Linked DNA regions of Caenorhabditis elegans. The protein of the gene in region 1 interacts with the protein of each later gene in a pairwise test. Each region holds a gene or a part of one and is shown on either strand. Other genes may lie near its edges. The genes, in order: ubxn-2 and air-1.

Region 1 (7,962 bases):
AACAATTTTACATTCTAAATTTCTTCCGATTTGAATAAATATGTTTAACATCTATTCCGTTTTGTTTTATGAAGATTGTAGTAGACAAGTAGTAGAAAACTCTAATTCACAATCACCTGATTTTTATAGAGGGATAGAGGACAACAGAGCAAGCGGGAAAGATGTAGGTCACAATAGGAAACAACTTCCATGGTAGGCAAGCGCGTTTTCAGGGACCTGCCCGCCAGCCTTCCTGCTCATTGTTTGCATTTTTACGTGAATTTACAAATTTATTATATAATTTTCTCATTTCTATAAATTTGATAAATATCAAATCACTAGTTAGCATAAGAAGCGGGTTGTGGCGAGAGGCAGGCGGAGGTTGGAACTTTATACAGACGTGACCTTTCGGTCATCATGAACTTATCGCGTAAGCGACCTCTCTTTATAATTCATTACTTCTTACACTCTCTTGTAATAAACTTCTTCTCTCCTTGTCACTCGCTCAATACACAACAATAATTTTTTACTTGGAAATTGTTTTAGCATCTGCAAAAAGTATTTATTTATCAGTTTTAATAAGAAAAAACGGGAAAAAGCTGTGAAAAACGAAAGAAAACAGGCGGAAAACAAAGCAAGATAAATGGCCGCTGAAACTTGTCGGCCCCTCGGCCATGGCCTAGAAACCACTTTTCCTCGTCCCTCGTAAGGAAAAAGTTGCAGTGAAGGATCCCGTGGTTTCCCGAGCAATTTGAAATTGTCAAATTAAGTTCAAAAACCAAATGATGGTTTGAAACTACAGGAATAAATCGGTATCCTGTGTCACGTAGCCTACTTGACTTGGAGTAGGATGGCTCTAAAGTTTCGGAACATTTGCGGAAACTTGGGTTGATCATGATGTGTGTAAAGGAATGAAGCTACCGTATAATACCTGCATGCAAGAATAATTTTGATTAGTCCATTTGCAGATTTTTAAAACTTGTCGTTCAAAACAACGACTCACAGCCTCCTCACGTGGAAATGACCCAACAACAGGGGGCTTGCGCGTTTCTCGTGAGCGTGGGAAAATTTTGCCGTTGAAAAGTAATTTCCTTCAGTTTTCATGGGTTTGAAATCGATTTCAAACTTTTTAATTACGTATCAATTGTAAAGCTACTTGAGGGTAAGGTGAAGGAAAAAAAAGATTTTTGATTTTTGTTCAAAAATAAAAGCGATGATATAAAAAGAAAAAAACATCTAAAAATTGAGTTTTTCTCATATTTCGTATATTTATCATCATTTTTCTAGTGGAAATTGATGTATATTTGAAAAGTAATCTTCCACCAAAGCTTATGTTATAAAAAATATGAAGAAAAACAGTAAATTGAACGTTTTCGGTAATTTCTCAATTTTCCACGCGATGCACGAGAAGTGCGCCAATGGACCGACTTTAAATTTTTTTTTCTCATAGTCAGTGGGATTTTTTTTCAATCTGATGGTTTCTTGATGCTTTTGAGTAAAATTTTGAATATTAAAAATAAAGACATTTCAAATATATTATCAAAATCCACTTTTAGACGTGATTTCTCAGAAAAATTAGAATTTTTCCTCGATTTCAGGTAAAATTTCAGTTCACAATTGTTTTTTAAGTTTTTCCCCAAAGAAACTGTTGATTTATTATCAATTCGCAGAATTTGGACGCTGCTGGAAACGTGCCCCCGACAAGAATTGCGTCAACAGCGGCTGCTGACGCACTTCCCGCACGCGCTGGCGCGTTTCTCGGCGCGTTTTATCATTATTATTTTGTTTCCTATTTCCATCGGTTTTTCGTCGTTCTTTTTTTGTTTTTCACTCATTTTTTCTCAAATTTAATATTTTTACAGTGAAAACCTTCAATTTTCCACCACAAAACCCCGGAAAAAATGAGCAGAAAGTGAGTGTCGCCCGCGATTTTCAACCTCAAAAATCGATAAATTACTTGCAGTATTCGCACGTTTCGTGACATTGGAAACAACGACGATGGGGGGCCGGACAGCGACGATTCAGGAGCCGATGCCGCCGAGAGAGGAGCCCCACAGGAATTTTACGCTGGAAGGTAGCCGCAATTCCTAGATTTTTTAATTAAAATTTTTTAAAACTTGGATTTTTCAGCGGACAAGCAGTTCAAGGACCACGTGGAGCTGCTGCTCGAGGCCCGGATAGTGAAGCCCACATTCGGAGAATCCTTCAGGCCGCCGAAGTGGTTCAGCCAGAGGGAGGAGAAGCTCCAAGAGGACGCCCGTCAGGGAGAGAAACTATTGTAAGCCGCGGTGGGCTGCTGAAATAGCTGAAAATCATTGATTTCTGCTCATTTTTTGCGCGGCGAATTTGCTTTAAAATCGATATTTTTTTGCAGAGCCTAACGCTTCACCTGTGGTCCGACGGCTTATCGATCGAAGACGGCCCGTTAATGTCTCGCCAGGACCCCAGAACTATTGAATTCTTGGAAAGCGTCGGAAAAGGGTACGGAATGACGGAAAATGGAGGATTTCTTGAAGAAAATCGAGAGAAAATTGGATTTTTTTGACGAGAAAATCAAGATTTTCGATCCAATTTTCACTGAAAATACAAAATACAAGATTTTTTCTTAACACATAAAAATCAGTTTTTTGGCAGGAAAATCATGATTTTATCGTTGAAAATGCAAAATTCTACTTAAAATTGGGACTTTTAAGCTGTTTTCATGTAGAATTTAGTCCAAAATTTGAGTTTTTCAAAGTTTTTTCATAGTAATCCTATTTTCAGCAAACTTTACCTGGAAATTGTCCAGTTTTCGCCAAAAAAAAAATCGATTTTCCCACGATTTTTATTGATTTTAACAAATAAAATATGTGAAAAATCTTCATTTTAAACTAATTTTCACTTAAAAAATGAGAAAATCTCGATTTTTTGGCCGAAAATTTAAAAATTTGATGCTAAAAATGCAATATTTCAGCTGAAAATTGCATTTTTTAAGTTATTTTTGGGCATTATTAGCTTAAAATTGATGTTTTTCACTGTTTTAAGCTGATTTTCAGCGATTTTCTCTTGAAAATTGTTCACATTTCGATTTTTTCCACTATTCTCCTCAGTTTTTAGCAGAAAAATCGACTTTTCTTCGAATTTGCTGATTTTAAAATCAAATTTCGTTTAAAAAAACTTTTATGAATTTTCACATAAAAATGATGAAAATTCTCCAATTTCTGTCGGAAGAATTCCTGAAAATGGAATTTTTATCTTTTTTTTTCAAAAAATTCAAAATTTTGCCAAAAAATCGATTTTTCTACAAATTAGTCGCTTTTAACAGCAATTTTCGTTGAAAAAAACTCAATTTTTATAACTTTTAGCATAGAAAATGTTGAAAATGGCTTAAAAATGTTCGAACTTCTTCAAGAAAAGTGCCAAAAAATTCATTTTTTTTCACATTAAAAAATTTTTTACAGAAAACCATGAAATTTCCAATTTTTCTCCAAAAATCTCCGATATTTCTCCCTGCAAATTTGAAAATTCCCCAAAAATAATTTTTGTGAAATGCCAATTTTCAGCCAAAAATTGATTTTCTAGCGATTTAGCCGTTTTAATATCAATTTTTACACATAAAAATCGGTTTTTTGGCAGGAAAATCATGATTTTATCGTTGAAAATGCAAAATTCTACTTAAAATTGGGACTTTTAAGCTGTTTTCATGTAGAATTTAGTCCAAAATTTGAGTTTTTCATATAGTTTTAATTTTATTTTCAGCAAACGCCAAAAAAATTTTGATTTTGCAACGATTTTTGGCGGCGATTTTAATATCAACATTTGTGCAAAAATGCCAATTTTAATCAATTTTCACATAAAAATTGAGAAAATCTCGGTTTTTTGCCTGAAAATTTAGCATTTTATCGCAAAAAACGCATTGTTTCAGTTGTAAATTGTTAAGAAACCGAGGAAACCTATATTTTAATCAGTTTTTTAGCAAAAAAATCGATTTTTCTACGAATTAGCTGATTTAAATGACAATTTTCGTTGGAAAAACTCAATTTTTATGAATTTTCACATAAAAATGATGAAAATTCTCCAATTTCTGTCGGAAAAATTCCAGAAAAGGCATTTTTATCCACTAAAAAAAATTCAAAATTTTCCAATATTTTCCTCAGTTTTTAGCAAAAAAATCGATTTTCCTACAAATTTGCAGATTTTAAAATCAAATTTCGTTGGAAAAACTCAATTTTGATGAATTTTCACGAAAAAATGTTGAAATTGGCTCAAAATTCTCCAATTTCTTCGAGAAAAATCCCAAAAAAAATGGAACTTTTTTTCCATTTTTTCAAAAAACTCAAATTTTTCCAATATTTTCCTCAGTTTTTAGCAAAAAAATCGATTTTTCTACAAATTAACCGATTTTAAAATCAAATTTCGTTGAAAAAAAACTCAATTGTGATGAATTTTCACGAAAAAAAAATTGAAAATTCTCCAATTTTTACCGAAAAAAGTGCCAAAAAATCCATTTTTCACTAATTTTTCTATTTTTTTTTTGTTTTTTTTCAGTGAAATCCCTCCATCACTTGTTCAACAATATCCGGGAAAAGAAATCGATTTCAAAGTGAACCGCCACCACGAGGAGTACGTTGCTCCGAAGATGAAGCCATTCGGCGGTAGTGGAGTCCGTTTGGGAAATGTTGTCCCAACAGTTTTGGGACAATCATCGTCGTCTGCCACCACTGCTGGGACATCATCTGCAACAACTGATCATAACCCGGATCATACTGCTGAAAATGAGGCAAAACAGCTGGAAGATGCTAAGAAGGAGCTGAGCACCAATATGAATGAGCCAACGACTAATGTACGGAGTTTGTACTACGGTTTTGGAGCAGCGAAAATTTTTGGAAATTTGGAGGAAAACTGCGGCTAAAATTGGCAGTTCTAAAAGAAAAATGGACGAAAAAATTCAGTAGAAATAGGCTAAAATCAACTGCAATTAGTAATTCAGTCCCCCCACAAAACTGACCTGAAAATGCAATAAATTAGAAGAAAAACGGTCGAAAATTACCTGAAAATCATAAAAATCGAAAAAAAAAATCGGTGGCCGAACTTTTCGATTTTCTAGGCCATCAGGTGAAAAGTTAGACCCCCCCACAAAACTGACCTGACCTATCACGCAGAATGTCAAAACAAAATTGGGGGACTAATTTTTCACTTGGTGGCCTAGAAATCCAAAAGTTCGGCCACCGATTTTTCATTTAATTTTTATGTTTTTCCGGTCATTATTGATAGTTTATCTTCGCATTTTCAGCCATTTTTCCACCTGAAAACTTACAAATAACGCTTCTTAAGCACCGCTTTGACACCTCCAATCTCCTTGACCATTTGGCCAAACTTTTGGATTTTATCGATTCCCAGCCACGCTTTCAGGGACATCTGTAATGTAAATTTGGTTGGAAAAATGGGATTTTTTTTCAGTAAAAAATATGAAATTTTAACGGAATGTGGGGGAAAAAAATTTGACCAAAAAACATTTTTTTCGCCATTTTTTGGCGAAAAACTCCATATTTCCTGTGAAATATGATATTTTTCGAGTTTTTCACTGAAAAATCTTGAATTGCTCGGAAAAAATCGGAAAAATCGATTTTTCAGTGGAAAATGTACGGAGTTTGTACGGTTTTGGAGCGAAAATTTGTGAAATTTGGAGGAAAACCGGCTAAAATTGGCAGTTTTAAAAAGAAAAATCAAAGAAAAAATTCAGTAGAATTAGGCTAAAATCAACTGCAAACTTTTGAAAATTAAATTTTAAATATATGTTATCAATTATACACTAGAAAAAACATCCCAGAATCAGTTTATTTCTGAAAAATTTCAAATCGGATAAAATAAGCTTCAAAAACACTCTAAAATTAAATGATTCTGATAATAAAATATTCAAAAATTCGCTTAAATTGGGAAAAAAAATCGGTGGCCGAACTTTCGGATTTCTAGACCATCAAGTGAAAAGTTAGTCCAGCCCATTTGAAAATAGCTAGACACAATTCAAAATGGCAAGAAGACGTTTGTGGAGGACTAACATCTCAGTTGGTGGCCTAGAAATTCAAAAGTTCGGCCATCGACTTTTAAAATTTTATTTTCTTCCAATTTTTCACAAAAATGTGCTGAATTACTAATTATTCGATGGGAAACCCGAAAAAAATCGGTGGCCTAACTGTTTTAAAAAGTCGGCCACCAATTTTTTTCGCGCAAATTTGACCGTTTTTTCGTCAATTTTCCAAATAAAAAATTGCTGGCCTAGAAACCCAAACCTCGGCCACCTATTTTTCACCTAAAAACCGTACCTAAACACACCATCAGGACGCTTTTCTGCTCTCCGACGCTCATTTTCTGGGAAAAAATCAGATTTTTTTCCTGAAAAAAACGTGAAAAATCAATAAAAATATCACAAAAAGGTCGTAAAATCCTTCAAAAAATCAATAAAAATTGGCAAAAAAAAATCGATAAAAATCTACAAAATTCATATGATTTTAAACACAAAAAAAACGGAGAAAAATCTACTTTTTCGAAAAAAAAAAATTTCAGGCTCTAATTATAGATTTTCAGTCGAATTGTGGCTTCTTTCCTGATATTTTGATTAATTTTAACAAAATTTTCAGATCCAAATCCGTCTGCCAAACAATCAGCGTCTCGTCGGTATTTTTAATCATTCTCACACACTTGAAGCAGTTCGTACATTCATTTGCACGTGAGTTTTCAGCCGGAAAAAGCTATTAAAAACTCTCATTTTTCACTAGAAAAAGTAGATTTTTAGAAAATTTCGAATTAAAAAAATAAAAAAATCATCTAAAAATCACATTTTTAGCCTGAAAAATTCGAAATTTTCCAATGAATAATTATTTTTTAATAATATTTTTCTGATATACACAGTGATAGAAAAATTACATTTTTCAAATTAAAAAATTACATTTTTCAAATTAAAAAATTACATTTTTCTAGTTTTTTCTTTCAAAAAACTCAAATTTTTTTAATTTAAAAATTTTGATTTTCCAGCGCCCGCCCAGATATGATCTACGCTCCATTCCAAATGATGGCTGCCTACCCTCCAAAACCATTTGAAGACGAATCACAGACTCTGAAGGATGCAAATGTGCTCAATTCGGTCGTCGCCGTGAAAATCTTGCCCACCACCAACTGAGGAGATTCCTGACGCTGCTTTTTTGGCGGGAAAATTGAAAATTGAAAATTTCATCTGAAAAAATTTCGAATTTCTACTCGTTTTTACCCCCCAAAACCTCTCAAATTCCCTGAAAATACCTGTATTTTACGCTAAATTATTTGATTTTTTCCCCCCATTTCCCAATATCGTTTTTTTTCTTTCTTCTATCACACTTTAATGCATAAAAAAAGTACACCGTTTTCTGTGAAAAATTGCGGCGATTTTTATTGATTTTTTGTTTTGGAATTTGCGAGTTTTTCAAGCTCTGAAATATTTTTTTTATTTTTTCCAGATTTTCAGAATTTTTCAATTTTTAGTGAAAAATGCACATTTTTTACAAATTTTCCATTAAAAATTCAATTTTAAAGTCAAATTTTGAATTTTTCAGATTTTTTCCCAATTTTTCAGAGAGAAAAATCCTTCTTCTGCGATTTTTTGGTGAAAAATTTAAAGTTTTCAAAAAATGTAAAAATTCACTTTTTTTGTTCCAATTTTCCACTGAAAAATCGATTTTTCCCTGATTTTTTTCAAAAAATTCAAGATTTTTCAGTGAAAAACTCGAAAAATATCATATTTCACAGGAAATATGGAGTTTTTCGCCAAAAAATTTATAAAAAATTTTTTTTTGAAAAAATTCACAAAATGCTTGGTTTTTCCTCCCCACATTCCGTTAAAATTTCCCATTTTTCCAACCAAATTTACATTACAGATGTCCCTGAAAGCGTGGCTGGGAATCGATAAAATCCAAAAGTTTGGCCAAATGGTCAAGGAGATTGGAGGTGTCAAAGCGGTGCTTAAGAAGCGTT
Region 2 (4,745 bases), on another chromosome or scaffold:
ATCCAATCAACCACTTGACAAACACCTCTAGTGCATATCTACGGGTCATCTTGTTTGTACTCACCTAAATTGACTACATATATCCAAATCTCCATCAAATAAATGGTTAGTAATCACCGGATATGTAACAACCAGATGGTAACGACCAGTTATTCGCGCAAATATTAAACATTTTTGTGCATTATTCTAGTATCTAATTGATCAGTTCATTTCAAGGATTACAGTTATTATTAAACATTAGAAAGAAATGTTTATATTGTATTTTCACGAAATGCTGAGATATCAGTTAAAAGGCACACGATGTTTTCCTGAGTGGGTCTCGGCACGAACTCAGTCATAGTGAGGTTCCAAAATTTACAGATTTTTTCATTTGATATGGAAAATGTACTATACGAATTTTGAAATTCTGAAATGTACAGAAAAAACTAGAATTTTTCATGTAGCACATAGCACCTAGCTAGGATAAAGTTTTTGCGAATGTACGATATTTAAGGCTCTCTGCCAGATACCACTTAACGTTGTTAAACCTCCGCTTTATGTTTCAAACTTTAGCTGTTCCAAAAAACGTTCCCACTCCTACCAATGTAGTGTTAACTCGTTATAATGTTTGCATACCATGCTACTTTTTTGGCGGAACAAAACAGTGCCAAAAAAGGCGGCAGCCTTCTACTTACCGCCACCACTGTTTGAGTTTTGGCTTTTAGCAGAAAGCATTGTATTTCTTCTGAGAACCAATGAACAAAGAGGTGCACCATCGTTTATGTGATAATCGAGACACTTGGATGCGAAATTTGGGAAAAAATTAATGGGGCAGACGGGAACACACGATACAGTACTTTCACGGGAATCTAATGATTTTACACACACACAAATAAAGAATAATTGATTTAGATAAATTTAAATCCTTCTCGTTGTCAGTGTGAGAAGAAACAAAAGGATGAAAACGGATAAATTGCTTAAATGGATTAGCGAAAATAAGAAGTTAGTAGCCGTATGATATACGGTTCTAAAGAAGGGAAAGTGCAGATGATAATTGTTTGGAAAGACAAGTAGAAAAGGTTGAGACTTTAATGGACAATAGACAGAGCTTTTATTGATTGGCTGTAGAATTATTGCGACTGGATTTCGTGAGCGTCGAAATGAAGAGTGGAACTTCAATGTCTTCGCGTTGCTTCATTTCCTTAATCCACGGATGAGCCATGATGTCAACAAGTGGGAGACGTTCTTGGGGTTCCTTTTTGATTATTGCATTTATCAAACTGGCAGCTCCGTCAGTCACAACACTTGGAATCTGCAAAAAAGAAGCAATTTAGATGAAACTACTTGGGAAACAAAATGGAAATGAATGTTTGAGAACTGTCCCGAGGAGAAAAGGAACCATATTGCATTAAAAGCAAACCGGCACACGCATCTCGAGCTAGACTTCTATTGCAGTTCTTTGAAGCTTCTCACAGATGAAACCGTGAGAGGCAGGAGATATATGACATGAAAAGATGAAATGGTTACCCAAACCATCACTTCATGCACATATTTCTGTTGGAGAACTGCTTATTAAGATTCTAACAAATTTAGTTCATAATTACTAACATAAATCTTGCACTCCTTGATTCTGGCGATCAATTTATCACCAGTTTGATTGGCGAACGGAGCATATCCAACAAGCATTTCGAAGAGAAGAATTCCAATTGCCCAAATGTCAACATTAAAGTCATGTGGCTGATTGGAAACCATTTCCGGAGCAAGATAATCCATGGTACCGCACAATGTATGGCGTTTCGAGTGATCAGCAACGACGGACCATCCGAAATCGGCAAGCTGAAATACAAGTCTTATTTTTTAGAAAGAATGCATAAAATGTGTTGAATTTAATTTTTACGGTAATTGTCCCGAGGAGAAAAGGAACCAGATCGCATTAAAAGCAGAACGGCACACGCATCTCGAGCTAAGCTTTTATTGCAATGTTACTGTGTGATCAGAGTATAAACTCTTTTTCAGCTAGTGACTTCTTTCGGCTCGGAGAACCAAAGGATGCACTGAGAACATTGCAGAAGACTTTTTGAGTACTTAGTTAACCATATTTATACGCGTACCTTCAGATTGAGCTTCGAATCAAGAAGAAGATTTTCAGGCTTAATGTCTCTGTGAATAACTCCTTTCGAATGGCAGTAATGCAACGCATTGGCCAGCTGTCGCACAAATCTGAGGAAATTTACTATATTTCTGAAATATCTACAAAATCACACCTTCCGGCAATGACCTCATTCACTTTGTGTCCAGGTTGTGATTGGAGGACATTAAATAATTCTCCTCTGCTGGCATAGTCGAGAATGACGAACACACGCTTGTCATCGTGAAAGTATCCATAAAGAGTGAGAATATTCGGATGACTGAAATAATATTGATTAATTGATTTGGATGAGATGACTTCGAGAAAACATACCGCAAATGATATTGAATTTCGATCTCTCTCTTCAACTGATGACTGACTCCAAGTTGAAGCAACTGTGTTTTGAAGAGTACTTTCAAAGCTATGATTCGCTTGGTCTTTTTTTCACGAGAGATGAAAACGTTTCCAAACTTTCCTTTTCCGAGAGGCCGTCCAACGTCAAAATCATCAAGACTCCAGCTAAAGTCCATTACATTGTAAAAGTAATAAATCAATTATTCTCACCATGATTCTTCCCTTGCCTGGTCAACTCTCTGAGGTCTGCTATCTTCCGTAAGTGAAATAACCTGAAGATTAGAATTGATGCCTTTCTAATTTTAATAACAATTACCTCGGCCTTCTGATCGTCTATCACAGGAGCAGTATTTTCCTTTCCGCTCATGATTAATGTAATTCTGCGAGTTGAAATATTATAATAAAATTGAGGAATAAAAAATTTAATGAGAAAGGAAAAAGAAAATCGCGACTAATTCAAGAACACGTCAAAAATTAGAACAAAGGCAGTCACTTTGAATGAATTTTGCTTGGCGGGTTGTTGAGCGGCATTGCTAAACAACACGCGCTCTGTTATTTCGGAGTGTCGTTGCTGACACGTTGCGAATAAATCAATTCTGCATTTTCTATTCCACTGAGTTCTGCGATTTTTTTCGCAGAATTCGGTGAATTTGAATCAATAAAATGTCAGTAATCGATAAAACTTCATCAGCAGTCAATCCTTTACGAGAAAAAGTGACTACTGCATGTGCAAAGAAGCTGTATAATGACAAGGTCAGCTAAAATATTAATTACAAACGAAACTTATGGCATTTCTTACAGGATTGCATCAAAATTGCTGATTTCATCACTCCACTGGTCGAAGATATGAACCTTGATTCAAATGTTGATAGGAAACTACACAATAAACTAGAACGATACGAGTTGAGACTAAACAAGGAATATTTGAGCGAGTTCGAAAAAGTTAGAATAAACCTGAAATCATTTCATTTTAAATCTGCTATTTCAGATAAATAACATTGTGCAAAAATTCGATGAGCTCTGTGTAAAAATGAACTCCACATGCACGAATTTATCAAAGCAAATGGAGACTGTAAAGTTCAAAAGTGTTGATTTGGTGCAGAAAACAGCAAGCTTGAAGGAGAAGAAAGCGAGTATAGAAAGCCGTTGTAATATGATAAATGAATTTCTCGAAAACTATTCTTTATCAAGTGAAGAGCTTCGAGAATTAGACGAATGTGAACAAAGTGGTCATCTATCGGAATTTTTCTTCAAAGTTCTTGAGAGGTGCCACGAAATTCGCGAGAACTGCAGAAATATGGTTCAGGAGCAAGGACATCTTGCCGCTTTTGAAGTGATGGAAAAAATGCAAAAAATTGACGAAAGAAGCCATGCAATTATCTGTAACAATCTGAAACGCGAATTTCAAAATCTGACAGTTGATTCTCATCAGAAAAAGCAAATTCTTTCTAAAGCTTTCAAAATCATAAGTCAGAATGATGCTGTATTCCAGCTTGCCATTGGTACGTTTAGTTCTTCAAATCTACTCACCATTAACCTAGTTTTCAGACCAATACATTTCATCTCGCTCACAAGAATTGCTCAATCAGTTTGTTGAAATTAACAAAATGGCTGTCCAAATGCCTGAAGGGTTGGCAGAACCACTGAAGGCAGTTGGAGATATGCTGACTTCGATTCACGAGCTCACGGAGCAAGAAAAACAGTTGTTCAGCTCAATTTGTTCCGCAGAAAATCTTCCGATCGTTCTTGATGAATGCCTGAAATCTTTGACTTCGCCGTTCAAGGTAAAAAGTTTAAATTATTGGACTATAATATATGATAATAGTTTACAGATTAGGGTAGAGCAACTGCTGTCGACAGAAAAAAATGCCATCACAATTTTCAAAATGGGAAATATTTTAATTTTCTATGCAAACAAGTTCGAGACTTTGATTCGAAAAGATAGTTATTTTACAATAATGCTCGCAGATCTCGTCAAAACAGTTCGTCAAGTATGTATTGCCGGTATAAATCATCACGTGGACGGACTTATGAGAAAGATGACATCACCACACTATGATCTCCTTCCAGTCCCAGAAGTTCGGCAATGCCTTTCACTTTATCACGGGCTTATTTCAATTGCTGTAAAAACAGGAGATTTGAATCTTCTTCTTGAACCAGAAAGGATCTACGAATATGTCTTGGAACCACTTATTCAGACGGTTCAACTCAGTGCAACTCGTCTGAAATCTGATATTGAAGTTTCTGTGTTCACAATTAACTGCTTAACAGTCATTAGAAGTGC

The links.
Region 2: the proteins of ubxn-2 (region 1) and air-1 interact in a two-hybrid assay, tested with the Caenorhabditis elegans proteins (one study listed by BioGRID).

What each region holds. Positions count from the first base shown.
Region 1 is NC_003282.8:2,719,738-2,727,699, reverse strand, and holds ubxn-2 (UBX domain-containing protein 2), read left to right. Parts: upstream 1-1,880; coding exon 1,881-1,891; intron 1,892-1,942; coding exon 1,943-2,053; intron 2,054-2,109; coding exon 2,110-2,257; intron 2,258-2,353; coding exon 2,354-2,460; intron 2,461-4,506; coding exon 4,507-4,801; coding exon of another isoform or gene 4,802-4,870; intron 4,871-6,596; coding exon 6,597-6,685; intron 6,686-6,990; coding exon 6,991-7,135; 3' UTR 7,136-7,387; downstream 7,388-7,962. Other genes in the region: ndua-12 (putative NADH dehydrogenase [ubiquinone] 1 alpha subcomplex subunit 12), read left to right, coding at 7,866-7,962. UniProt on the Caenorhabditis elegans protein: Ubiquitin-binding protein which acts as an adapter for ATPase cdc-48.1 and/or cdc-48.2, conferring substrate specificity.
Region 2 is NC_003283.11:8,219,584-8,224,328, reverse strand, and holds air-1 (Aurora kinase), read right to left. Parts: upstream 2,842-4,745; 5' UTR 2,829-2,841; coding exon 2,778-2,828; intron 2,734-2,777; coding exon 2,672-2,733; intron 2,627-2,671; coding exon 2,441-2,626; intron 2,388-2,440; coding exon 2,244-2,387; intron 2,200-2,243; coding exon 2,091-2,199; intron 2,049-2,090; exon of another isoform or gene 1,880-2,048; intron 1,816-1,879; coding exon 1,588-1,815; intron 1,551-1,587; exon of another isoform or gene 1,356-1,550; intron 1,292-1,355; coding exon 1,091-1,291; 3' UTR 747-1,090; downstream 1-746. Other genes in the region: cogc-6 (Conserved oligomeric Golgi complex subunit 6), read left to right, coding at 3,125-3,214, 3,263-3,403, 3,450-3,963, 4,010-4,245, 4,294-4,745.